3 linked regions of the Oryctolagus cuniculus genome follow. Each later gene encodes a partner of the first gene's protein in a complex. Links are inferred from orthologs where the notes say so. Each region holds a gene or a part of one and is shown in the gene's direction. Other genes may lie near its edges.

Region 1 (10,310 bases):
TCTAGTACTTAGCTTCTCAGCCGAAGAAGATGATGTCCTGGGGGAGATCTGCTGGCAGGTGTTTGAGAAGTCCCTGCTGTGGGTGAAGAGCTATGAGGCCCGCAGCAGCATGCACAACATGTACGGTGAGTACTGCAACCTGACCAGCACAGGGGCCGTCACCGGTGCTAAGGCAACATGGGCGTCCACCACATCCTGATCACGAAGGTGGAGATGCTGCCAGCAAGTGCTGCTAGCCACCATCAAGCAGTTCCATGACTCCAATATCAAGTTCCCACTGCAGCGCCAGCACAAGCCCGGCTTCACCACTAAGAGGCCCAACACCTTCTTCTGCCCCACTGCATCTGCCCCAGTAAACTTAGCCTGGGAATGCAAAACAAAACAAATCAAAACACAACCAAAATGCTCATCCGGGGGCCGGTGCGGTGGCTTAGTGGGTTAAGCCATGGTCCTGCTGTTCCACTTCTGATCCAGCTCCCTGCTAATGTGCCTGGGAAAGCAGCAGAAGATGGCCAAGTGCTTGGGCCCCCTGCATGCATGTGGGAGACCCAGATGAAGCTCCTGGCTCTTGGTTTTGGCCTCACCCACTCGTAATGTTGTAGCCATCTGGGGAGTGAACCAGCAGATGGAAAATCTTTCTCTCTCTTTCTCTGTAATTCTTTCAAATAAGTAAAATAAATCTTAAAAAAAAATAAGAGACTTGTTCCTTTTAGTTCCTTTTAGACTGGGAAGCCCAAGGTCAATGACCCCTTTCTTGCTACATCATCCCATGGTCAAAGGCAGAGAGACAAGAGAGTGCACACATGTATGTGAGCGTGTGTGTGTGTGTGTGTGCACACGCAAGAGGGAGGAGAGCAAGGTCATCCTTTAATCAGAAACCCACTCCCGTGAAATTAAAGCCACTCCTGTAATAACATTAATACATCCTTGAGGGGAGAGGCTTCATGACCCAATCACCTTCCCATGGTTCCACCTCTCAACACTATGCACTGAGGATTAAGTTGCATGAACTTTGTGGGACAGGTGCAAACCACAGCAGCCAAGATGGCTAAAAATGTCTTTAAGGATTCCACAACACAGCAGCAGGTAACAGTAACAAGTAATTATTACATATCACTTTTTTTTTTTTTTTTTACAGGCAGAGTGGATAGTGAGAGAGAGAGACAGAGAGAAAGGTCTTCCTTTTGCCGTTGGTTCACCCTCCAATGGCCGCCACCGCTGGCGCGCTGCGGCCAGCGCACTGCGCTGATCCAAAGGCAGGAGCCAGGTGCTTCTCCTGGTCTCCCATGGGGTGCAGGGCCCAAGCATTTGGGCCATCCTCCACTGCCTTCCCGGGCCACAGCAGAGAGCTGCCCTGGAAGAGGGGCAACCGGGACAGAATCCGGCGCCCCGACCGGGACTAGAACCCCGGGTGCCGGTGCTGCAGGTGGAGGATTAGCCTATTGAGCCACGGCGCCGGCCAGTACATATCACTTCTAAGATGTGTAATCTACAAGTCAGAATTGACATGTCTGAAACAAGTTTTTCCTTTTCCCAGATTTTTTTCATTTATTTAATTTATTTAAAAGACAGAGTTAAGAGAGAGATAGAGGAGAGAGAGAGAATCTTCCATCTGCTGGTTCACTCCCCAGATGGCTACAACAGCCCAGGGGTGGGCGAGGCCAAAACCAAGAACCAGGGGCTTCATCTGGATCTCCCACATGGGTGCAGGGGCCCAAGGACTTGGGCCATCTTATGTTGCTTTCCCAGGCACACAAGCAGGGGAGCTGGATTGGAAGTGGAGCAGCTGGGACTTAAAACAGCATCCATATGGGATGCTGGCGCTGCAGGCCAGGGCTTTAACCTGCTGCACCACAGTGCTAGCCCCCCATCTTAAATATTCTTAATAAAGTAATACAACCATCCCCCTTGTTGTTCAACCCAAAAATCTAGGACTCAGCCTTAATTGCTCTATCCAGTTGATAAGATTCCAGCCTATCTGCCAATCCTGCCACCTCTACCTACACAATATAGAAATATTATACCAACCCAATGCCCCATCCTGGTACAAGCACCCTCATGGCCATCTCCCTCATCTCCTGACTTGTCTACCCTCATCCACTCTTACAACTCACCAATCCCTTCTCCAAAAGCAGCCAGGTTGATCTTTAAACATCAGACCACGACATCTACCTGATTAACACACTGATGGTTTTCCATGTCACTTAGAACAAGATCCAAGTTAAGTGCCAAGGCTCTGCTTTTTCCTGGCCCCTGCATCATCTAGCTCTCATTGACTCCTGCTCTTCCTCTGCTCAGTTCCAGCCACACTGACCTCAGGGCTTCTGCACTTAGCTGGTCCCTCTGCCCATGTTCCCTCCCTGGATCTTTCATTTCTTGCAGAACTTATCCAAAATGCTATCTTTATGGCTGCCTAACTAGGCAATCTACCTAGTACGGTCACACACACTGCCACTTTTTTTTAGATTTATTTATTTGAAAGGCAGAGTTACAAAGAGAAAGGGATAAAGAAATAGATAGATAATCTTCCATTTGCTGGTTACCCCTCAAATGTCCAAAACTGCAGGGCCTCTGCCAGGCCAAAGCCAGTAGCTTCATCTGGGTCTCCCTTGTACTGGACTAACCATACATAGAATCTCCTGCCACTTTTCCAGGCGTGTTATCAGGGAGCTGGATTGGAAGTGGAGCAGCTGGGACTTGAGCCAATGCCCATATGAGATGCTGGCATCACAGGTGTGGCTTAACCCATTAGCCAGCCCCCACTTGCCACCTCATAATCCCTTATACTTACTCTTGTTTTTCTCTCCTTGGATCAAACTTTGTTAAGGCTCCTGAGTCTTCTGCCTGACCAGGCCTGAACTGGGGCTCCCTTCTCTGTCCTTGTTGAATCCAGTTTGAGCAAGAATCCTGCAAAGTCAGTTTAACAAAAAACTCACCCTTGATGTGGGACCACTCTTGATGTCTCAGTACTCTGGCTGCCCCCAGCAGTAATCCTGTCAAGTCAGCTTAGTCAGAAACCTTACCCTTGATGCTTCCTCCTAGTAGTTTTTGGTCCACGGATCCTCACTTGTCCTTTTTGGAGGCAAAGTTAGGTTCAATCTCTCCCTTAAGGCAAGCCAAAGTTGCAGTGGCCCCTATACTTGTGCCCTGTTGAACAAATTCTGCCCTGATATCTTTAAATGTTTTTTTGTTTTTTTTTTTGACAGGCAGAGTGGACAGTGAGAGAGAGAGACAGAGAGAAAGGTCTTCCTTTGCCGTTGGTTCACCCTCCACTGGCTGCCGCGGCCGGCGCACTGCGGCCGGCGCACCACGCTGATCCGATGGCAGGAGCCAGGAGCCAGGTGCTTTTCCTGGTCTCCCATGGGGTGCAGGGCCCAAGCACCTGGGCCATCCTCCACTGCACTACCTGGCCATAGCAGAGAGCTGGCCTGGAAGAGGGGCAACCGGGACAGAATCCGGTGCCCTGACCGGGACTAGAACCCGGTGTGCCGGCGCCGCAAGGTGGAGGATTAGCCTATTGAGCCACGGCGCCGGCTCTGCCCTGATATCTTTAACAAGTGTCATGAATACCTTTTCCTCGAATACCTCACAGCCTTATTTCTCTAATATCACCCTTTTTTGTTCATTGTTTGGCCCACTAGGCATTTATGGACTGGGAGTTTTCTCTGTGCTATCTCACTGCTTAAGCATAGCAGACAATGAGTGCACGTGCCACACTGTGATTGATTTAGTCGTGCATGGCTACCCCAAATGAGTGCAAACTCCATGAAAAGGTCTTATCCATCTTGTTCCCTACGGTATCCCTAAGTTTTGAACACTGCTATGACATTGCTAAGTGTAAATCGATTTTAGAGGAAAGAGGGGGGCCGCTAAACAGACTGAACGAGATAGAGCAGGCCTCACACACAGAACGACATCTGAGTAGAACTGGAGAGAAAGAGCAGAAACTGAAAAGACCAAGAAAACCAGTATTTCAGCCAGGAGAAATATCGCGAGATGTCGGGCAGCCAAGATGGCTTCCCGCACTTGCCGCCACACTCAATATGGCGAACAGAGAGAGCGTTCCTGGAGGAAGTCACGCGAGATTTGCATCCCGGGGACTGTTCGTGAATTGAGCCGGGGGTGTGGAACAGCCAAGATGGAGCCGGCAGCCGGTGGTCCAGGCCCTCTGATTGTGAATAACAAACAGCCTCAGCCGCCGCCACCTCCACCGCCCGCGGCTGCGCAGCCTCCCCCTGGAGCACCGCGAGCGGGCGGAGGCCTCTTGCCCGGAGGCAAAACCCGCGAGTTCAACCGCAACCAGCGCAAAGACTCGGAGGTCAGGAGCTTCTGGGGGCGAGGCTAGGACCCGGCGGGCGGCGGCTGGGGGCCCGGGCTCGCGCTCGCGGCCGAGCTGGGCTTCCCGGGGGGTTCGGCGGGGCGGGACCGGGGAGCTGTCACTTTACAGCCGAAGGAGCAGGCAGCGAGGCTGGTGTGGCAGTTCCCCGGGCCGGGGGCGTGAGGCTGGCAGCGCCGCCCGAGACAGGCTCCCGGAGCCGGCATCCACCCGCTGGCTCCCGCGGACAAGCCGCCCCCGCCGCGGCCGCCGATGAAAAGCGGGCGCCCCCAGTCTCTTATCCTCTCGGTGGAGGGCGCCGACCGGACGGCGCGGGCGGGCAGGGAGGCGGCTGGCGAGGGTTTAGACACAAGGCGCCTGGAAGGCGGATGGAGCTAATGACCACTCATAGTACAGCGAGGCCGGAGCTTTCGAGAGCAGGGGGCGTTGCCTCTGGTGCAGGCTCCGGCCATGGGTTGGCAGTGCTTGGTGTGCCCAGAGCGCCCGATGCTGGGGGCCCTTAAAGGATTAGACGCACTCGTGCCGGGGACCCAGGCTTCGCTCGAGTTCCAGGGGCGCCGGCTGGGGAGCAGCTGACTGCTCACCTCGCCCCGAGAGAAGGCGTTGCTCCTACCGCTTCCCTGCGCAGATTCATGAATGAAGACGCACGTCGCAGCGTTGTAGGGCATCGTAATCAGCGCGTGCCAGAGCTCTTACTATGCAGTCTCCTTCACCTGACGCAATCCCGGGCCGCTCCGCCGACTGGCGCTGATGAGTGAGAGGGAGCCATCGCTGTCCAGGCGCAGTGTCCCCACTCTTCCCCGCCGCAGAGCCGGGATACTGGCTTTGGACGTGCAGGATCAGCTCCTCTCCGTCTTCTGTGCTTTTGTTGCAACCCCAGACCTCTGGTGTAAAACACTGGCAAGCTCAGAGTTGGAGCTGGAAGTGAATTCTTTGGAAAAGCAAAGGAAACCGACGTTTGTGGGACCCGTGGGTGGTGGGACATCCAGGAGGACGACTCAGTACTTTTTCAAGCACGGGGAGGTTGTGAGAGTGAGGGGCGTAAGCCCACCTTCATCCTGAGAGGGGTTATTTTTGAAAATGGCTTTACATTTTCCTGAGTAGCCATGACCAGTTGAATACCGTTGGGTGCATTTTCACGTCTCTTACTACCTTTTCATTTCCACCGAGACTGAACCCACGGGAGGCCAGGAGACTGTCTGCAGGTGTCTCCTTAAGGTGCAGAGGCTGAGTCAGGCGGAAGGCAGTAGCTGGGAGCTGGATCTATGCCTGGGAGATAGGGAGGCTGATCTCTGCCGAGAGCGCTCTGTGCTACATAATCCTGATCGGTTCTTAAAAACCTGCAGGGTAGACTTTCCTCATCCCCATTCCAAAAAGGAAGAAACTGGGGCTGGCACTGTGGCGTGGTGGGTTAAGCCATCGCCTGCGAGGCCCACATCCCATATGGGCACTGGTTCAAGTCCCAGCTGCTCCACTTCTGACCCAGCTCTCTGCTATGGCCTGGGAAAGCAGCGGAAGATGGCCCAAGCGTTTGGGGTCCTGCACCCGTGTGGGAGACCCAGATGAAGTGCCTGACTTTCGCCTGGCCCAGCCCTGCCTGTTGTGGTCATTTGGGGAGTGAAGCAGTGGGTGAAAGTTCTCGTTCTCTGTCTCTCTCTCTCTCTCTGTAACTCTGACTTTCAAATGACTAAGTAAAGTAAATCTTCTAAAAAGGAAAGTGCGAAGCTCAGTGACTTGGGAGAGGGGTCGTGTGTTGTCTCGGAATAAGGGGCAGAGCTCTTGTTGTAGATGTTACCTAAGACTGAGGGTGGGAACCGCTCTCTTCACCACTCTGCTATCGCGAGGCCTACAGGACGGTGTGTTCTGGGTAATCACCTGTGCCCAGCAGTGAAAAGGGTCTGTCGCATTCTCCTGTGTGTGGGAGGCGGGCCCATCTGTTTGCTGCCTTCTCTGTCAGTTCTCACTGCAGTTTGAGACAAGGGCGAGAGACTAAGAGTTTGAATGCTGGGTTGATAGCCCACTAGCTGCCTAGATTCTGGAATCCTAGCACTTTGTGGAATAGTGGCTTCAGGGCACAACGTACTTGGAAGCTTTGTGTTCGTTCATTTGAGAGGGATTTGAATATAAAGCAGTGGAGGACTGTGCTGGGCATTGTGAAATCGCTGCTGATCAACGTGGACTGACTTCCTGCTTTCAAGGGCCTTGCAGTCTCGTGGCGAGGTGGAAACTGGACCCCACATGCAGTAGTTACAGGCGCTCTGGAGGGACAGGATAAGGTGCTCTGAGACGGCTTGGTGGGGAGGAGCGCGGGGCTAGCCCAGGAGACGAAATATGGTGATCGAACAGCAAGCAAAGGGGAGGCAGTGGTTTCCTGGGAACAGTGGTGGCTCTGGGTGCATTTCTGTTTCCTGCTTTGTAAAGTACGCGTAACGCTGTCTCCTTTTGTCAACAGGGCTACTCCGAGTCACCAGACCTTGAGTTTGAATATGCTGACACAGACAAGTGGGCCGCAGAGCTGTCGGGTAAAGCACAGTCCTTTTGTCATCTGGGGGCAGTTTTCTCCATATTGGTCTTTACGGAGATTTACAATGTGTATCATTTTGGAATCATTTTTTCCTTAGTTGTATCAGTGATACACACACACACATATGTATGCATACATATATGTGAATAGTATGTTATTTTGTTTAAGTTTTGTGTACCTTGAAACTGGGTTCGATCGTTCTTTTGTTTGTTCTCTTTCTCTCTTTCATTTGTTTTTTCTCTCTTCCTTCCTTTTTTTAGATGTATTAATTTATTTGAAAGGCAAAATTACAGAGAGAGAGGGAAAGACAGAAAAAGAGAGGTCTTTGATCTGCTGGTTCACTCCCCAAATGGCCACAATGGCAAGGGCTAGGCCAGGCCAAAGCCAAGAGCCTGGAACTTCATCCAGGTCTCCCACGTGAGTGCCGGGGCCCAAGCACTTGGGCCATCCTCTGCTGCTCTCCCAGGCACATTAGCAGGGAGCTGGATCAGAAATGGAGCAGCTGAGACACAAACTGTCACTCGTATGGGATGCCAGCGTTGTAGGCAATGGCTTAACCTGCTAGGCCTCAACGCCAGCCCTGTTCTTTACTTTTCTGAAACATCTCTGTATTCAGCTCAGTTGGCTAGGGCCTAGTCCCAGGGTGACATGGTAATGTTCCTTGGCCATACACTGTCCCCCAGCAGTCGCCTCCCATACAGTAGTGTGTCATGGGAGATACCAGCAAACACGCCTGCATGTGTGCAGATCTGCCATTGCCACAGCCACTCCTGTGTGACCTAAGTCCAATGTGAGCTGCTTCTCCAGCCTCCATACTCCCGGGTCAGTTGGCAGGTAGCACTGGGGAGACAGTTTCAAGGTGGCGCTCACCTCTGGCATGGCATGGCGTGGCGTGGCGTGGCATGGTGGATCGGTGCGTATCAGATGGAAGTGCCTGTATTTATGCTTCTCCGGTGTCCTGGATTTCAGCTGCAGGGGGAGTCAGCATTCTCTGCATTACATACCCGAGCGCCCTAAGACACCCCCACCCCGAGTGATTAGCATAGGCCAGGAGTCGACGGGTGCAGGGGCAGAGTTGGTCCCGGAAGCACACACCTGACCTTGCTGGCTACTTGGGAGTCCCCTGGGGAAGCAGGTGTGGAGCTGCTGTGACGAGACTCTGTTCTTGACAGAGCTTTACAGCTACACGGAAGGACCGGAATTCCTGATGAACAGAAAATGCTTCGAGGAAGACTTCAGGACTCATGGTGAGGTGGTTTCCTGATTTCTTGGCTCATCACCGGCGTTGCAAGAGCTCCAGTTTCTCTTAGTCATCTGGATGACCTAAGTCATCCTGGAATGGCCCGAGAAACCTGTTGGACCGACTTGTTCCAGGCCGGGTGCAGCACGTAGAGTCGCCTTGTGGGCCTTTGCTGGCGGCTTTTCAGAATGTGAGCACTGGGGAAGAATCTGTGTGACTGTAGTGTTTGGGTCAGGAAGTTCCGATTCATAGAGCAGCAGTCGGACCTTGCCCCTTCCACAGAGTCACCGGTCTTTCCACCCCTATGGCAATCCTGAATTTGGTGGATCAACAGCGGGTCTCTTCCATTGTGAGCATTTTTCTAGGCTCAGGTATCACTGGTGTCTTGCCCTGCAGTGACAGACAAAAAGTGGACCGAGCTGGACACCAACCAGCACCGAACCCATGCCATGAGGCTCTTGGATGGCTTGGAAGTCACTGCCAGGGAGAAGAGACTCAAGGTGGCTCGAGCAATTCTCTACGTTGCCCAAGGTACTGGGTGGGCCTCGCCTGGGTCCCCTGGCGCCTCTGCCAGTGACGTCGCCCAGTCAGACGTGGGGGTGGGCTTGGCGAGCATTGCCGTGTGTTGGCAGGCACCTTTGGCGAGTGCAGCTCGGAGGCAGAGGTGCAGTTCTGGATGCGCTACAACATCTTTCTGCTGCTGGAGGTGGGCACGTTCAACGCCTTGGTGGAGCTTCTGAACATGGAAATAGAGTGAGCACTTCTGCGGGGCTTGAGTAGGGAGGCGAGGGCAGGGCTGGACGGAGGACCGTCTGTAGAACACACTGGCTTTGAAGGGGTTAAACGGGCCACTTGGGCTGAGGGTTTCCCCCCAGGCTCTGTTCTCACCTCTGGGGTTTCATAATTGGAAGCTGCCACCATTAGGGACCAACCCTAATGCCTGCAGCTCCCTAAAGCCAGCAGCGCCTTCAAGTCAGGCAGTGCCCGTGCCAGGCCTCTGGTGCCCCTCAAAAGAAGCTCTGCATTTGAGCCCTCTTTTGCTCCTGCTGACTCCATTTTGTTTGCTCTGCAGTTTTGCCCTCAGCAGGAGGCCAGAACCCAGTGTGACATGTGGTGGGCTCAACCTCAGCCTTGTCTGGCAGGTGTCACCGCCGGCGCCTTGTTTGATAGACAGGTTGGCTGTGCTCGTGTGAGGATAGCGTCATCAGGGATAAGCGCTAAGCACACTCGCCGAGTGCCTCTGTGTCCCAGGCATTGTTTGAAGGAGACTGTAGATCTAATTCATGCTAATGACATGGGTCCTGGGTCCTGTGTCACTCCCAATTTAGAGGAAACTGAGGCACAGGGCAGTTCAGTACCTTGCCCAAGGTTGCATAGCTCGTAAGTGCTGGAGCCAGGATTCAAACCTTGCAGTCTGGTCCAGGCCTGAGCTGGTGGGCTTTTTGTTTGTTTGTTTGTTTTAAGATGTATTTATTTATTTGAAAGGCAAAGTTACAGAGAAAGAGAGGGAGAGACAAAGATCTATCCACTAGGTCACACCCCAGATGGCTGCAATGGCCAGGGCTGGGCCAGGCCAAAGCCAGGAGCCAGAAACTTCCTCAGGTGTCCCACATGGGGGGAGGGGCCTGAACACCTGGGCCATTTTCCACTGCTTTCCCAGGCGCATTATCAGGGGGCTGGATCAGAACCAAAGCAGCCCGGACATGAACCGGCGCCCATGTGGGATACCGGCAGTGAAGGCGGTGGCTTAACCTGCTATGCCACAGCACCGGCCCCACTGTGCCGCGTGGCCTCTTGTGCCGCCTTAGCACATGTCACAGCCCTGTGGTCCCCCACTGGGTGGGACTTGTTGAGGGCATCACTCCGCCTGGCTGGGCCAAGTGCTGACTCTCGAGTCTCCTTTGCAGCAACAGCGCCGCGTGCAGCAGTGCCGTGAGGAAGCCCGCCATCTCCCTGGCGGACAGCACAGACCTGAGGTGAGCAAGGGCGGGCCTGGGCTCTCCTGGCAGGGCCGGCTCTGGGCGGTGCCTTTGGTTTCCTCGTTGAGTATGCGTCCCTTCTGCACATGCAGACCTGCAGGTGTCTCAGGTCGGATGGGCTCAGTGTGATTGATGAGTGGGCCTTGCTGAGGACCCTACCTCGGTGGGGCTCTGGGTTGAGACTCCCAAAGGAAAGCCAGGGTCGAGGCGCTTCTTGGAGCCTCAGAGAAG
Region 2 (10,559 bases), on another chromosome or scaffold:
CGCCTTGCGGCGCTGGCACACCGGGTTCTAGTCCCGGTCGGGGCGCCGGATTCTGTCCAGGTTGCCCCTCTTCCAGGCTGGCTCTCTGCTGTGGCCAGGGAGTGCAGTGGAGGATGGCCCAAGTACTTGGGCCCTGCACCCCATGGGAGACCAGGAGAAGCACCTGGCTCCTGCCATCGGATCAGCGTGGTGCGCCGGCCGTGGCACGCCGGCCACGTCGGGCATTGGAGGGTGAACCAACGGCCAAGGAAGACCTTTCTCTCTCTCTCTTTCTCTCTGTCCACTCTTCCTGTCAAAAAAAAAAAAAAAAGAAAGAAAGAAAGAAAGAAAGAAAAGAAAAGAAAAGAAAAGAAAAGAAAAGAAATCCATGCATCTTAAAACAAAACAAAGAAAAAAACCAGCCACAGGCTTCCCTTCGTGCTGCCTCCTGTGGCTCAGTCCCCACGGGAAGCCTGCTGGGACCTGCTGAGACCAGGAAGTGTCCTGCGCTGAGGCTGCCCTGGCTGGTTGGGCTCTGGGTGCTAAGAGGCAGCGAGCAATGTCCCATTACACCAGTAGCTGTCTCAGGGAGGAAGGTTTGTAAAAACCAAGTCACTAGGAGTCAAAGTGAGCAGATAGCAACATAGGCAACACTGCTAAGTAAGAAACTTAAAAACCAAATGCACAGAGCTCAGTCCCAATACCTCCCCATACTAGCAGCTTTTTTGTTTTCTTGCATTCTGATACACTGCTCTGAGCAGGGCAGAAACTGGTGAGGTTTCAGCTGCACTCAGCAGAGCGGCACCTCGCTCCCGGTCTGTTTCACCAAAGCGGCAGCCTCCAGCCTGTGTCACCCACCACTCACCCACCACCTAAAGCTGAGAGCTGCGAGACAATGAGACCCCAGGTGGATGCCCTCCCTCCACCTATGGGGCTTGCAGTCTCTCCTTCCAGATGCCACAAACACAGGTGTGGCAAGATCAGCTAAAACCTAAGGAAACTCTACCCCGTGGCCCCATCACTGAATTCTCTTGGAGACTTTTAGTGGAAATTTTCTAAGATTAAGCTGAGGTTCCAAAGAACATCATAGGTGGCTACATTCCCAAACGAAAATTTATACACCTGTTTGGGGCAGCCTTTTGGCTCTGTTTCTCACCTTTTTTTTTTTTTTTTTTTTTTTACTAACTGCTTCTGCTACAGGAATAGCTCACCTTGTTTGAATAAAGACATTGTAGTACATTATTATTCCACTAGAGTACAGCTATTGAAAGGTTCTTCTGGCCACTCTATTTGTCAACCAAGCAATTTAACCTATTTGTTCATAAATTTAGAACCTCTTGTGTTTCTTTAACTTGTAGGAGGGTGTCTCTACATTGTAAAGCAATCCATGAAATCTATGATGTATTTGAACATTTCAGAAGAAATGAAAATGTATTGTGTCCTTTATTCAATGAGATGAGTGTGTCAGTGTCTGCAACACAGACTGTGAGGCAGGCCTGAGGATGAACAATGGGGTCCTGGTCTCCTGCCCGGGCCTTTGTTAGCAGGCATAGGAGCAGCGCTGAGGGCCGTGCTCACTGGCATAGGTTTGGACTCAGAAGCAGAAGGGTTTCAGAAGGGGGTGCTGCGTTTGCTCCACAAAGACGACTCTCTGGGCCGGAGCAGCTGTCTCTCTATGGTGGCCGGGGAGCTGCCAGAACCCGCGTGCAAGTCTCCGGGCAGAGTTCTGTCCTGCAGCGTGCAGCTCTGTCCTCTCACCGCGGCTGAGCCCCGGGATGCACTCCTCAGGCAGGAAGACGGCTCCTGAGGTAGCCGATTCAGTCAGAGGATCGACGAGTGGGTCAGGAGACGGGGAAACGTAGAAACTGAAGTCAGAAGTGATTGCGTGTGGAAGAGGAAACCAGCTGCACCTGGCCTCCCGCTACCAAGTCAGGACGGGCCGTAATGGAAAACGGATGCGTTGAGAGAAAATCCACCTCCCGGTCCCCTGGCCAGAGCGGCTGCCCTCATCCCACGGAGGCGACGTATTAAGTTTGGCAGCTCTTGTAGCGCTCGCCATGCCAGGGAGGTTATTAAAACCGAACTGAAATGGTTTCATGACTCAAACTGGAAACAAGAGTGAGGAAAATGCTAACACCGAAGTGACAGACCAGAACGAAATGGAGCTAGATCTGTGAGGCTCTCTGGCTCACGTTTCAGGAGGTTCCACGTGTTAAAACAGGCTGAGAGCTTAGCTAAACACAACAAAGGGCCAAGCCAGACATTCAACACCCTGGAAAGCGGGCTGGCCACGGAGAGCGCGCCAGGATTCACGAAGTTTACTGAGCTTCACTTTCTGGAGCCCCAAGACTGGCTGCACTGGAACCACATCCCCTAAAACGTGGTCACATGTGGGACGGCCTCCCACCTCCCCTCGTGCTTCTCAATGATTCGGAGGACTTCAAGGCTATTTCCTGGATATCAAGCCTAACCCCTCACTAAGGAGCTGGGAGAAAGACCCAGAGATGGGAAAAGCAGATGAGTGATGACTTTTACTGTCACAGTTTTGAAGGGTAAAGGTCAAATCCTTTTTGGAAAGACACGCTCATTTCAGAATAATACAGTTGACAACACTTGCTAACATTTTCAAGGGTCTGATGCTAGCAGAGTTGTTCAGGAGAGTTTCTGATAGACTGTGCTTACTCTTCTAAGTCTTTGTACATGTGTCCAAATAAAGCCATTATTGCAAAAAGCCAGCCAACTTCTCAGGGAAGCAGTAAATGGCTTTTCTCTTTGCAGCCAACATGCAAATTTTGAAGCTCACTGAAAGGGTAGTCTCAGGCTTCACACAAGAGAAAATACAGGAAGACCGAGTCCTGCCAATGTAATTACCAGAGAGAAAGAGCTGACATGCCAGTACTAACAGCCATGGCCAAGGACACTGGTAAGAATTGCCATCATGGGGCTGGCGTTGTGGCATAGCAGGTTAAGCCACCACGTGCAATGCCGGCATCCCATTATGGCACTGATTGGAGTCCTGGCTTCTCCACTTCTGACCCAGATCCCTGCTAGTGTGCCTGGGAAAGCAGTGGAGAATGGCCCAAGTGCTTGAGTCCCTGCACTCATGAGGGAGACCGAGTTCCTGGCTCTTGACTTCAGCCTGGCCCAGCACCAGCCTTGCACCCATCTGGGGAGTGAACTAGTAGATGGGAGATCTCTTTCTCTCCCATCTCTCCCTCTCTCTCTTTCTGCAACTCTACTTTTCAAGGAAATAAAATAAACTGCATCATGAAGACAGGGAACATCAGAACTAATGGTCAAAGGCTAGTGTTCTTTAGGATTTCTTGGGATATTTCAGAGATTTTGGAGCAAGAGAGAGAGGGAAAGGGAGGGAAGGAGGAAGGCAATATCACTATGTTCATAGAATTGTATCTACATGTTACATTGACTGCTTATAACTAATTGAAAATCAAAATTAAAAAATAAAATTTTTAAAAACACATTTACTGTTCTCACTTTTATATATATAATACACACACACACACACACACATATATATATAATTTTCATTTGTTTCTCACTCGGCAACCATTCCTCCTGGTGGCTCTACCTTAGCAAGAATATCCAGATTCTTTTTTGTCTTCCTCTCTCCCTCCCCTCCTGCATCCCTCCCTCACTTCCTCTGTGTGTATCCAGATTCTAATGGTATGACTACAGCATTCCTGTGGCAGCCAAGCACCATCATATCTCCTACCAGGTTGCTCTGCACCCATGCGTGCCTCCCTGGGGTCAGTTCTCAACATAAGTCCAGAGTGATGCATGGTCACAGGAGTTCAAAAACTCACAGATGAATAGAAATTTTCTTAAAAGGCAGGGTGGAGATTCTGGCACTATGGTCATGGCGGAGGGGACGGCAGTGTTGAGGCGGAACAGGCCGGGCACCAAGGCGCAGGATTTCTATAATTGGCCTGATGAATCCTTTGATGAAATGGACAGTACACTTGCTGTTCAGCAGTATATTCAGCAGAACATAAGAGCAGATTGCTCCAATATTGATAAAATTCTTGAACCACCTGAAGGCCAAGATGAAGGTGTATGGAAGTATGAACATTTAAGGCAATTCTGTCTTGAGCTAAATGGACTTGCTGTCAAACTTCAGAGTGAATGCCATCCAGATACTTGTACTCAAATGACAGCAACTGAACAGTGGATTTTTCTGTGTGCAGCTCATAAAACTCCAAAAGAGTGTCCTGCTATAGACTATACTAGACACACGCTTGATGGTGCTGCATGTCTTCTGAATAGCAATAAATATTTTCCTAGCAGGGTTAGCATAAAGGAATCATCTGTAGCAAAACTAGGATCAGTATGCCGTAGGATTTATAGAATATTTTCGCATGCTTATTTTCATCACCGGCAGATATTTGATGAATATGAAAATGAAACCTTTTTGTGTCATCGGTTTACTAAATTTGTGATGAAATACAATTTGATGTCCAAGGATAACCTGATTGTACCAATTTTAGAAGAGGAAGTTCAGAATTCAGTTTCTGGAGAAAGTGAAGCATGAAGGGAATCGTACAGAAAAATGTACTGATCACATAATTAACGTTCATTATGTACTGTATATATCATTTTAGACACATCAATCATGTATTCATATTATAGCTTCTTTGTTTAGATTAGGTTTTTGTATGCTGTGTGTTGCCTTTTAAAAGGGGAAATACTTTTTAAGTTATTCATAAGCTGTATATTCACCGGTGTGGCACTCATGGTTTTTTAAATAAGATTAGTATTATCTGTTTATAATGCCTGTTAATAAAAGAATTTACAGTTTGGTAAAATTGCTGCTAAACAATCATTGGATTACAATCCTCATCAAATAAACCCATATATAAAAAGATGAGTAAGCTTGAGGTCTTGCACAAACCATTTACTAAAGAGATAGTAATGTTTTCCTTTCATTTTGTCCCTGAATTTAGATATTATAGAAAATTCTATAGAACATAAACTGTAAACTTTTCCAAAATGAGATAAAAGTACTTTAAAATTCTGTTTATAGTTTTTGATATGCATTTATGATTATGTGTATATCCAAATATAAATGCAAATGAAGCATTAGTAATTCTTATATAATCTTACTATGCTATATAAAGTATATTCTAGGCCAGCATACTTGGAAAGGATATACCTTTTTACAGCAGTGGACTGTTACATATAAGTTGATGCTAATGATAAGGCACATAAAAGGTATTCCCACTGGAAAACTGTTCACCCCCTTCTCACTTCCCATAATCCTGTCCCCAGATACTTTAGCTGAGAAGTCTTTCACCAGACTGTGACTTAGTGGTGACTTATACCTGTTTATACTCATGTTTGTATTAATTGCTTACAGATTTACCTCATATTAGCAATTATATTACACTACAAGAAAGATGTGTTGGCATAGGCTCTTTGTTTTGTGAAAATTTTCTAACTACTTGGAAGACAGACCTTAAAGCCATTTGATTCTTCCTCTCAGTAATATTAATCTTTTCATCTTACTCTAGGCAGCATTAGAGTTAAAGAAATATTGTAGTATTTATTTTGTACCCTTTCTCCACAAAATTTGAATTAAATACATATGTGAGGTTATTTGCAATAATTGATGCAAGGGTGTTGATGAATGGCCATACATTTTTTAGACTTTGTTGTAGCATATAAGAATTTGGGTGCAGATGTAACGATCTTATAATCTATTGAATGCAGTTTTTCATGGAGTACTAGAGAGGTCTTATTGCCAAATTGATTGTAATGAGGCACTAAGATAGGGTAGAAAAATTATACATGTAGTGAAGAAAATACTTAAACTCATCTCTAAGACATATTTAACAAATGTGAGAAAATTTTTCATTTAAAATAGTTATTTTGAAATGAAGATGAAAATGTATTCATCTTGATTGTCTTCAAAGAAATTATTTATACCATATTATGAGACAAGTATGCAAAGAAAAAAATATGAGAAATAGTAGCATACTGAGAGTGTGTGTATATAGTTTATGCCTTTCCAAGGCTGCCAATCGTTTTGGCTTTGAACAGTACTGTCCCAGCAGCCACAGTCCTTATTGTACCCCAACTCACAGCTATCTTTTAGAAGTTTTATGTTCACGGTGAAAGGAATGTTGAGTTTGAAATTATACGTTTTTTTTTTTTAATGTCACTATAAACTAATGGAATAGTAATTTTTAAGCAAACTTGCTGAATATTGAGAGAATAACCTACTAAGTTAAATTATAGATAGCAATGTAGCTCTTCTCTCTTGATGGTTTCTCATAATGGCTTTCTGTTACTTGACTATTTTCTTGGTGAACATTAGAACTAAAATAGTGACTGGAATTGGTTATCTGGCTAAGGATTTTGAAACACATTTTGAATAATATGACTTAGTGTTTAATGGGGAAATAAAATGATATTTTTTCGTATTCATTCCATCTTCCCTGTACTGTGTTTGGAATTGATCATAAAAGAAAAAAAAAAACTCCAAAAGAAAAAAAAAAAAAAAAAAAGGCAGGGTGGAGGGGGCAAGTGTTTAGTGCTGCAGTTATGTTGCCATTTGGGATGCCAGCATCCAGTACTGGAGTGCTTGCTTTGAATCCTAGTTACTCTGCTTCTGATCTGGCTTCCTGCTAATCTGCACCATGGGAACCAGCAGGTAATGGCTTAAGTACTTGGGTCCCTGCCACACACAGGGAAGATCTGGATGGAGTTCTCTCTGTCTCTCTCTCTCTCTGTGTCTCTCTCTGTCTGTCTCTCTCTTTTTCTTTCTCTCTCTCTGTGTGTGTGTGCCTTTCACATCAACAGTGGTTTTTTTTTCTATTTTCTACTTGTTGAATTCTTTACTTAGTGGAGAGTTAAGCTTGTGATTATAAAATAAACTGAAAGTATGTCATTGTGAAAATTAAAAGAAAAAGTAAGAAAGGAAGGAGGAGGGAGGCTGGGATTGTAGGTAGGAGGGAGGCTAGGAGGGAAGTATCATTATGTTCCTAAATCTGTATATATGAAACACATAAAATTTGTTCACCTTATAGAAATAAAAAAAGTTTTTAAAAAACTCACTAATGCCTTTCCATCTTACTCAGAGTGAAAGCCAATGAGACCCCACATCAGTGATTTTCAACTCATACTGGTGATGAAAGTCATCTAGGAAGCCTTAAGTGATCCATGCAACTGGATTGGTTTAGATGGGTCTGGGCCAGGGCTCACACAGGGTCTGGGTCCTATCCAGCACCATCTCTCCTGCCCTCCCTCCTCACTGCACAGGCACTGGCCTCCTCTTGTCCTCTGCATGCTGAACACACTTCCACCTCGGGCCTCACTCTTGTCTCTCACATGATTTGCCTCTTGCTTCTCTCCTTGAGCTGACATTCAAGAAACACCTGTTACATGAATGAAGTATTCCAAGTAACGTAACATGGGAGGGGAAAAGTTCAAGACTGAGTTTTAGGGTAATGCCCATTAAAACATACTCATTGACTTGAAATTTCTCAACTTTAGCTTCAAATCCTTTTTCAGAAACTTAACTATGGCTTCACTGAGAAGCAGGTGCACTTGGAATGAATACTGCCCTGGTCTGTTCATTAGAGTTGCTGGGGGAATGGCCAAATTCTTCTTTTCCATGCTTTGTTTTCAAGAAATTATAAGAAAAAACAGTCAGAACCACAACAAGCAACCATGACTGGGAACTTCCTTGGGTTCCTGTGTCACAGTTTTATCCATACAGATTTTAAATTGTATGCCATAATATGCCTAAGGAAGTTTGAATTTAAAACAGTTCAGTATCACATATCATAGAAACATGCTTTTTGCTTCTCTTTTAGCCTGGAGAACCCTTGCCTGCTCTGTGAGAGAGACGCTCAGCTTGCCTAGATTGAGAAGCTTCACCTTACCCCACCACCTAATTGAATCTGAAGAACTTAAACCCTACAAGGGCAAATGACTTAAGCTGGACCACACTGTTAAGTAGAAACAAAAGTAGAATTCCATCCTGAGCACTGGTACAGGGCTTTTTCTGTGTGCCTTCACACTGCTTTCAAGCACATGGGGAAGTCTTCAACCCATTAAACCCACTGCACATCACCTTCCACTCTCTAACCATGTGATTTGATGAGATCAATGGCAAGGGTGGAGGGAGACTCAGGGCATTGGGGAAAATGCACATAAAGACTTTTCCAGCAAACCCATTTCTCCACGATGAGTCAGAATTTTTGCAGAAACATTCAGCAGAAAATCAAGTTATCAAAAATATTGAGTAGGACCCTGGTTACAGAATCAGGCTTGTCAGGGAACAACAAACAGAGAGCGATTTCTACCCTTCACTGGGAGAATGTGCTAATAAACTGGCAATGCTTGTACCGTGGAATCTCTCAGTACTTTTAAACAGATAAGGGAACTGTTTTCATCAGAAGGCTGTCCACAAAGCAAGTGAGGAAAGACAGCTGATGATACCAATTTGTGTAACAGTTCACCAAACAGGATTCCTATCCTGAAGTGTGCTTGTATGAGCATGGAGAAGGTGATATGGGGATGCACTCCTCCCAGGAACACTCCAGGGACACTGGCTTTCTTAGGAGGATAGAACTGGTAGGAATGCCAAGGGAGGTTCTTCACTTTATCCTAAGGCAACAACTGGACCACCTTCTCCTCAAGCAAGCTTTCTGTTTTAAGTCCCAGAAAATTGGATGAAAATCAAGTCTTGGTGAAAGAAATAGAAGCATTTTTACCGTCTCTTCAGCATACAATAATCTGATTTGGTGGATCTGGACCCACATGAAAAGTCACTTAAAAAAGTGTTCATTGTCACAGATGTATAACCCTAAATCCCCACCTGCTGTGGGGAGGGTAAACAGCCCTCTGTTGACAGAAACGGGGTGGGGGGGGGAGAAATCATACAATGGAGATGCTGGGGGCCTTAATAAAATTATATCAGAAAGAAGATGAAGTCAGGCAGAATTAAATGAGAAGCCAGATTGTAAATCAGCTATGGCAACTTGGTAGTGCATCTAATCTTCAGTCAAGCAGTAGAAGGGATGCTCTCGGTGGGATACTCCAGGGTCCCCATAATTGCAGATGAAAGTGACTTGGAAGAACCTCAGAGAACAAAGTCTGACAATCAGGACAAATATGCAACTGCAGAGACCACTATTTTGTCCCTTAAGGGATGCATCAGGGTCACCTTCAGGTTTCCTGAGAAGCAAAAGGTATAAAAATTATAACGCTAGGGTCAAAGTTAATTTATTTTTCACAGATACTATTAAACACCAAAAATCACTCAGGCAGTGTTCTACATGCAGATATATGGCAGTGAACAAGACGAAGTTCTTGCCTTCAAGGTGTTCCCAGTAGACTGTGTAATGCTGATGATGAGCAAATAAACAAACAATGTAATGGCAGGTGGAAACAAATGTTATGGAGGCATAGCATCGGGCTAAAGGAATAATGGTGGACTGGTATTATTTTTATTTTTAAAGAAGTGGCCAGATGGATGCTCTAAAGAGCTGACCTAAAATGGAATCATGAATGAATTGAGAAAACAAGTCAGGTGAAGATTTAGGGGGAGTATTGAAGGCAGAGGGAACAGTAAGCACGAAGTCCTGCATGGAGTCAAACTGGGTGTAGGAAGAATATCAAGAAGTCTGGTGTGGCAAAAGTAGATGGGTAAGGGATAGCTACAGGAATTATGAGGGCTTATAGGCCAGATTCTCTTCTGGACAGCTTTTATAGAACAGTGACTTGATGTGACTTACATTTTTAAAAGATCATTCTTGTTGCAGTGTGAAGGGTGAATTGTAGAGGAATAAATATGAAAGCAGGCAGATGGGGGGGAGCTTCCTGCCTCCTTCAAATCAAGAGATGATGGTGGCTTAGATTAGATTTCAGCTGATGAGAATGGTAAGGAATTATCAGATTCAGCATGTATGCTTCCCCTTGCCTACTGTCTCGTACTCTCATCCATTACCTTCATTCTTCTTGTCCTTCTACATCATCACTTTCTGACATTTATTTACTTATTTACTGAGTTCACAATCAGGTACTCTCCAGTGGAATATATTTTCCATACAAGCAGTAGTCTTTGGTTCTTGTACTTATTTTATTTACTACAATGCACAGACTAGTATCTGACATACAGTAAGTGCTCAGTAAAAATTTGCTGAGTAAATTAATTGTTAAGCTGTAGACTACCAGGACATACTTTGACAGTAGAACCAATACAACCTGCTAGTAGATTACATTTGGGATGGGAGAAAAAAGGAACAGAGATGAATTCTAGGTTTTTATCCAGAGCAATTGGCTGTAATGTACTAAGAGAGAAAGAAGTAAGTTTGAGGGGCAGGAATCAAGAGCTTGAGTTTGGAAAGATTAGGTTTGCATGTGGTTCTCAGAGATTCACGTATAGAGACTGAGTCAACAGAAATACACCAGCATGGAGCTTAATAGGGAGGCCTTGACTAGAGACATAAATTTGTAGAGTTTTTAGCCTTACAGTGTTTATGAAGAGATGAAACTGGAAGGTGGATTGCAAGAAGGGAAGAGAATTCTTGATGAAATCAGATTTTAGAGACAGA
Region 3 (10,435 bases), on another chromosome or scaffold:
TGAATAATGTTTTACTTACAACTGAATGCATACATATAGAATCTTTAATACTTTAATAACCTATGATTACTCAAAATCTAAAGAATTAATATCACTCTGATTCCAGCTAAAATGAAAATTCTGAAATAATGTCTCCAGCCACGGGATGTAGTCTCTAGAGATCAATGATTGGAATGAAAAGGGCATGGAATCCCTCATAGGCATTTAACAAAAAGTATCACATCTCTTTTCATTCTTGCTGAGGGTATGTTTCTCAGCTTTCTTCACGTCTATCCTCCTGTCTCTCCTCACCAAAACCCTTAGAATTTGACCACTTAGAGCTTGTTCTTTTATGCTGCATGCATCAGTGAATCCTCCTGTTAGAAACCTATGCTACTCAATTATTTTTACTCAATAAGCTTTGAGTCAGAATTTTAAATTGAAAGATGAATCCAAGATATACTGTAATTTGAAATTAACCAAGTTTTGGATAAAGAATAACATCAGAGCAATTTGCATTCAAGAGAGACATTCTGTACTCTGTGGCTTTTCCTTCTCTACATATCATATATTCACTGATAGACAAATGTAGCAGCAAAAATCAAGAAAATATGTAAATATGCTTTTAACATAGGTATTATTTTATATATACTTATAAAGTGATATATAGTGAACTTCTCAACATCAATCAAGAAAAGTTGAAGATGGAATGTGAATATCAATTAAGATCAGTCAAGAGTTCAAGGTAATAAACAAATGTCTAAGCACCATACACTGCTAATGTTTTTCTCTCACATAAAAGCATGATCTTCTTACTCTCAAAAGATACAACAACCCAATTTCTCTAAATGACACAATAAAAAGGATCAAAACCTTGGAAAAACGTGAAAAATTCAGTACCTTAATACTACAAACTCATCCCTTTCTGATGAGATTCTTATCTTTTTATATACCTCAGAGCAGAAGACCTGTAAAGAGTTGGGTTTCAAAGTATATCTGAATTTCAACCTTTGTGATACTTATTTTCTATTCATATGCTTGGTTATTGTCAACAAAACTCTTGCAAAAATATCTTTTGACAAAGGCTTTGTAAGAATTCCGTTGCCAGTATAAAATGAATTATCATTACTATTACTAATACATGAGAGAAATAACCTGGCTACAGTAAATATTGAGTTTCATAAAATGAATTAGTAGTACAGACTACAAGAGAATAGAAGATTCTGATTCAGGACAATCCACTTAATCACAAATAACAAGGACAAATGTGATCTTTTTCCAAGCCTCACTAAACCCTAGTACCCAGTTTTTCCTACCAAAATAATTTTACAGAGTCATAGCAGCTATGTGGATTAATAAGATTCTCCAATGGTGTAGCAAAGATAAAAATCTGACTCTTACCATGGCTGCTAATTTTAGTGGCTACAGTGGCTTTTTCATTCTCCTAAGCTCTTTGTTGCTGCTAATACTTACCTGATCAGCTCCGGGTCAATCTAAGAGCAGCTATTTTGCTAAGATTTGTCTGTCTCCATAGTTCTGCAGTGTGAGTGTGGGAAAGATGGAGTATGTATATACTGGTAAGTCACTTAAGCTTTTCAGTAGTAGCACTCAGTAGGACTGAACTTTAAACAGAGAATTCCTTTGAGCCATTTCTTTTCAAAAACAAATGTGTGCAGTACAAAAATAAAATTGAAAATCCTAGGTAAATCAGGAAAACTGGAAAATAAAAGATAATTACTCCATTTTATTGACCCTAGTTCAAAAAAACCTAGATGAAAGTATTCCCAGACTGAAATATACAACTATCACAGTAAAGGCATTTCAGAACAAAATGTGCTGCAATACCCTACTATGATTAAAAGCCATGTAATCTGGGGAACTCTGTAACAAAAAGAAAATGAAAAATGAACTCACCAGATAGATCCTACTACTTTTCTAAAGAGAAAAGCCTGCAATTTTTGTCAGTTACACAAAGCTAGATGCACCTTTTATCTTCAGCATATTTCCATCTACACCATATTTCCACCCATAAGTACTATTATAATTACACTCAAAGAAATATACACATGGCTTAATTCTGAGAATAAACTCTTATTTTATGATGTTTTTAACCGGAACCCATCATAATTCATACAAAGGGTAAACATTTAGCACGTACGCACTAAACACAGAAAAGATCCTCAGACAGCTTTCCTTGTCCTCTTGTTTTCTGAAATGTACACATATCACTGGACACAAATGAGCGAATAAGGAGCAGCAATGATGTACACCATATGTTCCCACTGTAGGCTGAGTCCAGGTCTTTGTTCCAATATTCCAGAGTCGCTGGAAGGAAAGCTAAGTGCCCATCCACTAAAACACATTTTTACACTATTACTGGCAAAAGTTATACTTCCCACAGGTTCAGGGAGCACCCATCCTATCCCGCTGTTCCTGACTGCATTAGCTTAATACAGATCTCGGAATTCTACGGACCTGCATTACAACCACCTTGGATAACAGGTCCGCAGCGGACAATCTCAGCATCCAACGTACCCGCAGACGCTGAAGAAGAACGCAAAGTTATTTTCTAGGGATACAGTTCGGAAGTAATTCTGTATCAACGACGAGACGTTTGCTTTTCATCAGCTACGTACCGATCCAGAATACCGTCCACCCGGTCCTCAATCAGTAGGGGTTCCCTCAATCTTGAGACCTCCCACAACAGTTTGAATCGTGCAACTCAAACCAAAAACACCAACCACACCCTTTATACCCAGGGTCAAGCGACCTTTCTTTCTTTTTTTTTTTTTTTTCCTCCTCAAAGTCCAAAAATGTGCATCTTTCACCCGAAAGGGTTTGCCCCGGTTTTTCCAGCCGAAGGCAGACGGTCTGAGCTGTGCCCTGCTGCAACTGCTGTGCAAAGACGCTTCCTCCCGGGCAGTGTGCGGACGCCCCGGAAAACGCGCCCACGCTTACCTCCCGCACACCTGCCACCCTCGGCGGACGGCTGGAGCTGAGGCTCGAAGGGACTGCACTCCGCTCAGCTCCCGCTCCTGCTCGGGTCTCTCCCGGGAAACTACGGTCCAGGCTGCGCCTTCGGCTTCCACCGGGACCCAAGCTCCGCCTCTCCCTCCTCCAGTTGGCGAACTGGGCAGCTGTTGCTCCTCCCCCTGCTGTTCCTGCTGCTGCCGCCCGGGTCCCTGCCCGCTCCCTGCACTTTGGAAGCTGCTCCAGCCGCTTCCCTCGTACCGGGGGTCCCCCTTTCCTCCCACCCTCTCCCCGCTCTCACACCTGGACTTGTTCCCTTGCCGCGCCCTGGCGCCTCCGCAGGTAGCCCAGGCTCAGCCCATCGCTCCCCAACCTGCGGGTCTGGGGCTTGGCGGAGCTGCTTATCCCGGCCGCGGAGCGTCCCCGCACTCCCTGCACTCCAGGCTCCCTCTCTGCCCGCGCTGCAGACCCATTCCACCGGCCCCACGTTCCCTACCTCGGGCCCCCCCACCCGCTTCCGTCTTCTCCTCCGGCAGCCCGCCCCCTCCTTGGGTGAGGCGCCTACGGGGCCGACCCTGCACCCTGATTGGCGCAGGTGAGAGCCGGCCCCGCCCTTCCTCCCCTAGCCTTGCACCCTCTCTCTCCCTCTCACCTCCTCCCGCAAAGGCCGGGAACTCTCCTACTATTGGCTACGAGTGTCCCCACCCATCGCCTTAGGCTCTGCCGTATGGCCTGCCGGGAAGTGTAGTCCTAGGAGCGCAGGAATTGCAGACGACGCCGGCGAGCGAGACTACGAGTCCCCATAGGCCACTGCGCCTCTCCGGCTGGGCAGGATTCCGGACAACGCCTGGTTCCTCTCGGGTCCTTCCGGCGTCGCCGGAGTGAATTGATCCGGGAGTTGAAGAGGGCTCCAAAGGTGGGAAGTGAAGTCAGTGCCTCAGTTGCCGGTAAGGTGCGGGTGTTCTGCCCCTATCCCCGTGTCTCCGCGCGCGGTGGAAGAGGTCTGGGGTCACACAGGGGCCGGGGCTGAGGCACTCGGGCTTGGTACTGGCTGGCGGAGCGGACGGGGCTGGGAGCGGGGCCCTATGGGCGTAAGCGAGGTTACCCTACGCGAGTGGCGTAAAGCGGGTTTGTAAATGCCGCCTGCCCGCCCCGCTCGGGCCTGGACGCCTCCAGGAAGTGTGCTCTAGGTGGGGGCGGAGGGGAAGGGCGAGGTTGGCCTCTGGTTCCCCCCGAGAGGAGAGAGGGCGGATGTGCCTGGGGTGGGGTCCTCCGAAGGTGTGGCTTGGGGCGGGAGAGGTAAGGCTGCTGTTTCCCCCTTGCTTCGTAAGTGTGGCTGGGGAAGGAGGGGTTGCTTGGAAGTCTTCGCTCCGGGGTGACTGGGGTTATGCCCTTTGAAGGAAAAGGAGAACGGAGTAGGAAGAGTCAGATGTTGACAGATCGGCGGATTCTGAGTGTTTTGAGATGGGGTCCCTGAGCAGAACCGCTCGACCCTGTTGAGGGTGTGATACCCAAGATAGGTTTGTTTACGGCTGGAACTGCTTTCGAAGAGCTTTCCCGTCAGGATGCTGTTGAAGAAATTGAGGGAGTAAATGACGTGCCCAAGGTCACACAGGCAGGGACTTGGTCCTGAACAGGACAGAGATGCCGGCGGAGTCACAAAGTGCGGAGACGGGCCGTGTTTCTTGAGGAAGGTGGAGGAAGTGACACAGTAATGGTATTTTATGGATTTCTAAGAAGCTATGAGTGATTGAAGGGTGACTTTTTTTTCCCTCTCTCTCTCTCTCTCTTTTTTTTTTTTCTAAACTGGGGTGAAATTCCTCACTGAAGCACTTTCTCTGACCTTTTTGAAAAATAAAAAGGATCAGTATCAGTTACGTATTTTGTCCTTTATTGGGGCTATATTAACGATCGACTTCTCCCACAGTCCATTTTTAAAAGTAGATAGTGAAATAGGAGAAAGTCATTTAAACAGTGTATTCCATCCTTACTGTGAAAAGGATATATTCCTTTCCCTTCCTGCCTTAGGTGGTTTTTCCACTCTCATGTTGTAAAACTGAGAACAGTGGGGATGGAATTCTTTAACAAAACTTACTGTGCACTTTTTTTTTGTTTCAAATAATGCAACATTAAGGAGAGTTTAGTGTGCTCATTACTAGAAAAGAAGATAACATTGCATTTCTTGGAGGTAACATATTTTTGTGATTCATTTGCTTCTCCCCTCTTTGATTCTGTGTGTGTGTGTAAATAAAAGAATGAGGCTCTTACATATTTTAATTTTCTCAGCATCATCTGTGACTTTTTAAATTTTTTTAAAGATTTATTTTTATTTATTTGAAAGAATTACACAGAGAGGTAGAGACAGAGAGAGAGGTCTTCCATCCAACAGTTCACTCCCCAGATGGCCACAACCGCTGGAGCTGTGCTGATCTGAAGCCAGGAGCTTCCTTCAGGTCTCCCACGTGGGTGTAGGGGCCCAAGGACTTGGGCCATCTTCTACTGCTATCCCAGGCCATAGCAGAGAGCTGGATTAGAAGTGGAGCAGCTGGAACCAGAACTGGCACCCGTATGGGCTGCTGGCGCTTCAGGCCAGGGCTTTAATCTGCAGCGCTACAGTGCCAGCCCCTATCTGTGACTTTTAATTCATTCTTAGTTTGTATTAAAGAATGGAAAAGCAGGACACATTTCATATGGAGTAGAAACTAATGCACCTCTCCCAGTCTTATCTCCTGTAATTGTTACGACCCAGGACAGCTCCTCAGTATTAATACTGAATAGTTTTTTTTTTTTAATAGAAATGTGGGAATATGTTCATTGATGTCAGGATTTTTTCACATTAAGTTTATATTCATAAATAATCTATTTGCAGTTGGCAATCATCTGTCATGGTTTATTGTTATCTAAGTTGACCATTGAAATACATTGTATTTTGAACACACTATAAATATTAATATTAAATGTGTGTAATTTTTAAATGCAGCAGTATTTTCTAGGATCAAATGTATCATATTCCCATATTATGGAAGTTAAGATGGTCTGGAAATTGATACAACTTTAAAATGGAAGGAGAGGTATGATAGTATAGAATCAAGTGAAATCGAGAATAATAAGCACCATAAGCAAAATAGTGCACCTGTAAGGAAGAGTCAACCAAACAGGTGGAAAATTGTGTGGAGTTAACTGGCTTTGTGTCAAATTAGAAAGGTGAAGTAGTTTAAGTAGACCATAGATGCATTAGTAAGTGGTGGTAAGCAAGAATGTTAATACATTTTCTAGATGGCAGTGTAAATATTTGCTTTTGTTGGGCACGGTGTGAAATGAGTTCTGACTTTTGGCATGCAGCTGTGTGGTTATGAAAAGAGTTTTTGAACTAGAGAAATTTTGGAAATAAGTGAAGTTAATATAATCTACTTGTTCAGCATATATCAGTTTTTGTTCTTGGTTCAGTTTACCATGAATTTTTCTTTATCTCTGAGATTCATTTCAGTTTTGATATTTCACCTCTGCTGGAATGTCATTGGAATGTTTCTCTTACATTTATCATCTTCCGGCCACATGCTTGAGTACAGTGATCATTTGCATATTGGATAATTAAGAGAGTTCACAGAGTGATGTGTGCATCTGTGTGCACTTTACTGTTATCCACATTTGTTCTCATTTTGGGGTTTACAAATAGAAGAAGAGAGGCCATGTTGTATTTATCACTGTAGTCTCAGTAGATGGCATAGGTTGAGTGCCTTTTTAAAAAGACTGAAGAGATTCAGTTGGGTTTACTTGCTCAAGGTCATGTAGCTGGTAACTGGTGGGAACAAGGCATGGGTAATCTGGATCTTCTAACTGCATCTTTAATATTATGGAATAGGACTTAGTTTCTGAGATTATTTCCTTTTGGTGAGAAAACACATAACGTGACTTAAATGTTCAAAGGTTATAACCCTTTTGACTCTTATTTACTGTTGACAATATGCTTTGATTTCCAGCCTTTCTCATTTGTCAGCCCTTTTAGTTACTAAATACTTAAGTCCTTACTGACTTCAGGGCCTTTGCACATGTTTTGTTTCACTGCCTGGACTGTTCTCAAATCTGACCAAATCCTAGACACTTTTCAAGTTTCATTTTAAATGTCATTCCTAAAGGGAGCCTTCCCTAACCTTGAACTGCTCCTTTCCAAAACCAGAATAGGTCTCCACTGTATCTTCACTATACTCTGTACTGCTTTGTGGCATCATCACAAGAGGATCTTAATTATTTCTGATTTATTTGGTAAATATTTGTTTCTCTCACTGGACTTTAAGCTACCTGAGCAGGGCTCTCTGATTTGTCGTGTATCCTACTCCTGTACTTAAATGGTACATGGCACAATGTAAGTGTTCAGTAAATATTTGCTGAATGAATAAATGAGTATATTCATTCACAGTGTTTCTTTCACTTTGCTAGAAACAGAAATTCAGAAATGAATAAAAGAGATAAGCTTCCTGCCTACATAAAGGATTGAAGCATGTGGGAACATGCTTAAGAAATTTAAAGAATAGATACAAAGGCGTTCTTTACAGATATTTAATAAAAATTTTAGAATGATCTTCATTTTGTATTTGAGGTTTCTGAAATCAGGATAGGGAGCTTTCTGTATGGAAATGATGGTGCTTTTTCCCTTGTCTCTTTATCTTTTTGTTTGCTTGCTTGTTTGCTTGTTGTTAACTATCTTCCTGTCAATTTTATATTTATTAATCACTTGCTTTCTGTAAGGTGACTTTGTGAAATTGAGTAGTTCTTGTTTCAGAGTAACTTGTATATTGGGCTTCTTGAAAAAATTCATTACTATTGAGAGGATCTTCAGGTAATGTATTATTTGCCTTAAGTCAAGAGACTTAAGGAATACATTTTGTTAGGTTTTGGTTTTGAAAACAAATTTTATAGCCTGTTACAGTACCACAGTAATGGAAGAAATTCAACAGCCCTAATTTGCTGTAGCCTTATATATATTCGTGGATTTTCTGATTCACTTTTCCATAAGATACTGAAAAAGCGATTGTTGGTATTTGGCTTCAAAATTGATAACCCTCCCCGTTTTTGTTACTGAATATAATTCTTTACTAAGTCTTAAACTTTCTTAAAAGTCAATTCTAATGTCATTTGGATGGTGGATAAAATTTTCGTATTTACTTAGCATACCCAGTATGTGGAAGATAGAACTGATGTACTATTTTATTTTATTTTTTTAAGATTTTGTTTGTTTATTTGAGAGAGAGTTAAAGAGAGAAGGAGAGACAAAGAGAAAGGTCCTCCATCTGCTGGTTCACTCCCCAAATGGTTGTAACAGCCAGTGCTGGACCCATCCAGAGTCAAGAACCCCTTCCAGGTCTCCCACAGGGGTGCAGAAGTGCCCAAGCGCGTGGGTCATCTTTCACTGCTTTCCCAGGCCATATGCGGAGAGCTGGATTGGAAGAGGAGCAGCTGGGACAGGATCTAGCGCCCATATGGGATGCCAGCACTGCAGGTGGAGGCTTAGTCCTCTACGCCATAGTGCCAGCCCTTCATGTACTACTTCTTATATTCATGTTATTGTAGTGTTAAAATTATTTTGATAGGTAATGTTACTAAGATTTTAGACCAGTTCTGTTAAATAATTGTTTCCCTGTAATATAAACTAAAAGTGATGTAGAATTTAAATAGTGTGATTATGTATGTTACTGCCTTTGTAATGTCAAAGTTGCAGTCTTAGAGGCTTATGCTTTAGGACTGTATATTCATGCATGAACACACAGTGTAAAAAATGAAAGCATCTTTATTGCAGCAATGAGAAAAATTTTATTTGCTGACCATAAGCAGTGTGGTTTGGTGGTTCATTTTTGTTTCTATGAAGTTGTTTTCTCACTTACCCTAAAAAATTTAAATATAACTTGGGTATATTGTGATGTTAATATCTTATTTTTCAAGGTAACCCTTCGTTTTTGACATGGATAACCAGATTTGTAACTACCTAAAAATGATTTGAATCTCTTCAATTTTATTCTTACACTGTTACCTAGAATTAGATGTTGCTGTATGGGTTATAGAAGAGAGAGGAAATGGAGAGAAAGGAAATAGAGCAAACCGAGGACTTACTGGGTAACAAGAGTGGAACATATAAAATGGTAGTCATTGCCACTTAGTCAGACCAGTCCCTTGGAAATAAGTTTGCCAGAGGTAAGTCTAAGTTGCATAGTAATAATCCTTGGGTTCATCCACTTACCATGTATTTATTGAGTATATAGTATGTGTGAAATTACCTTAAATCTACATTGGAAAGAACTGGTATCTGATACCTTGGCCAGAAGTTAGGAAGTAATAGCTGAGTGACTGGCCTCATGCTGAGGTTTTTAAGTGATGTCATGTAATTTTACAACCCTGTGAGGTAGAGCACTATTATCCCCATTTGTAAATGAGGAAACTACATTCTTTCTGTTTCTCTCTCTCACTGTCCACTCTGCCTGTCCAAAAAAAAAAAAAAAAAAAAAAAAATTAGGAAACTACAAAGAAGTTAAAGGACTTGCTCAAGGTCACAAGACCAGTAATTGCTTGGAATTAGGGTTTGAATCTAGGCTGCTGACTCAAGAGATCATGTTTTTAGCCATTGTAGTAAACATGATGTTAGTGATCGAATTCCATTGGAGACAGTTAACCTTAGTATTGCGGTGACAGACTATCTTTATTGTAGCGGGCAGATATTCCTTACTATTCAAACTTGACTTTTAATCTGTTGACTGACAACCTTAATGTAGACAGTTTTTCTTTATGGTTGGAATAGATTAGTTTTCCTTTCAATGCTATGTGAAGTACTTGACTTGTTACTCAGACCATGTTAGAAAAGAAATGCATATATTATACATGTAGTTAGTCATAGTTGCTGTGTGAGCTGTTCACTATGAGAGGTCCAGTGGCTTTCAGTCTGTTAGGTGTGTAGCAGATCCATGTGTCTTTTAACTTTCTCATTCTGGGACTGATGGAATGGAATTAGTATCACCTATATATTTCAGTGTTTTTCTTTTTTGTCTTCTATAAAAAATTTTGTACCTTGAACTTGTATAAGTTATGTAAGTGAGTGTATAACATCACACAGATGTGCTCCCTGGAGTCTTAGACAACACAGCATCCTGACATGTCATTGTATTTCTTTGCTGTCTATTCCCTGCAAGACTGTACATCCTCAAGGGCGTGGACTACATCTGACTTTTCATCACGAAGTCTCCAACACCTTTGCTGACTTTGACTATGCAGAGTACTATGCTACATGTTAAGAAATACAAAAATTAATAAAATTTCTCTTTGTGGAGTTTATACTTTACTAGATAAAAAAAAGGGGGGATGGAAGTTCATCGTATGGGCATTTAGCCTTTCTCATTTGATAGTTTTGGGCCATTGCTGAGAAGAAGAAATTTGAATTCTGGTTCCACTTTGAAATATCTCTCCCTGCCTTACTCAGCCAGCCATCTGATCTTAGGTTAGA

What was found.
Region 2: the proteins of STRIP1 (region 1) and MOB-like protein phocein are in contact, whole or in part, in a cryo-EM structure (PDB 7K36), measured with the Homo sapiens proteins. The link is inferred for Oryctolagus cuniculus from reciprocal best matches to the Homo sapiens genes STRIP1 and MOB4. Residues at the interface, in NP_149079.2 of Homo sapiens: His108, Asn120, Thr124, Met127, Arg128, Leu130, Asp131, Glu134, Val135, Thr136, Arg141, Glu178, Val179, Glu187, Met191, Asp194, Thr247, Leu256; in NP_056202.2 of Homo sapiens: Ile107, Phe108, Leu109, Ala111, Thr115, Pro116, Glu118, Lys140, Tyr141, Ser151, Ala154, Arg161, Arg162, Arg165, Asn199, Leu200, Ser202, Asp204, Asn205.
Region 3: STRIP1 (region 1) and PDCD10 share a complex: the UniProt entries of both Homo sapiens proteins name them as parts of the core of STRIPAK complex. The link is inferred for Oryctolagus cuniculus from reciprocal best matches to the Homo sapiens genes STRIP1 and PDCD10.

What each region holds. Positions count from the first base shown.
Region 1 is NC_091438.1:60,286,293-60,296,602, reverse strand, and holds the start of STRIP1 (striatin-interacting protein 1), read left to right. Parts: upstream 1-4,097; 5' UTR 4,098-4,138; coding exon 4,139-4,318; intron 4,319-6,788; coding exon 6,789-6,858; intron 6,859-8,032; coding exon 8,033-8,107; intron 8,108-8,496; coding exon 8,497-8,631; intron 8,632-8,732; coding exon 8,733-8,853; intron 8,854-10,007; coding exon 10,008-10,076; intron 10,077-10,310. UniProt on the Homo sapiens protein: Plays a role in the regulation of cell morphology and cytoskeletal organization. Required in the cortical actin filament dynamics and cell shape. Part of the striatin-interacting phosphatase and kinase (STRIPAK) complexes.
Region 2 is NC_091440.1:69,967,629-69,978,187, reverse strand, and holds MOB-like protein phocein, read left to right. Parts: upstream 1-3,840; 5' UTR 3,841-3,850; coding exon 3,851-4,528; 3' UTR 4,529-6,423; downstream 6,424-10,559.
Region 3 is NC_091435.1:112,785,922-112,796,356, forward strand, and holds the start of PDCD10 (programmed cell death protein 10), read left to right. Parts: upstream 1-3,716; 5' UTR 3,717-3,896; intron 3,897-4,107; exon of another isoform or gene 4,108-4,666; intron 4,667-10,435. UniProt on the Homo sapiens protein: Promotes cell proliferation. Modulates apoptotic pathways. Increases mitogen-activated protein kinase activity and STK26 activity. Important for cell migration, and for normal structure and assembly of the Golgi complex.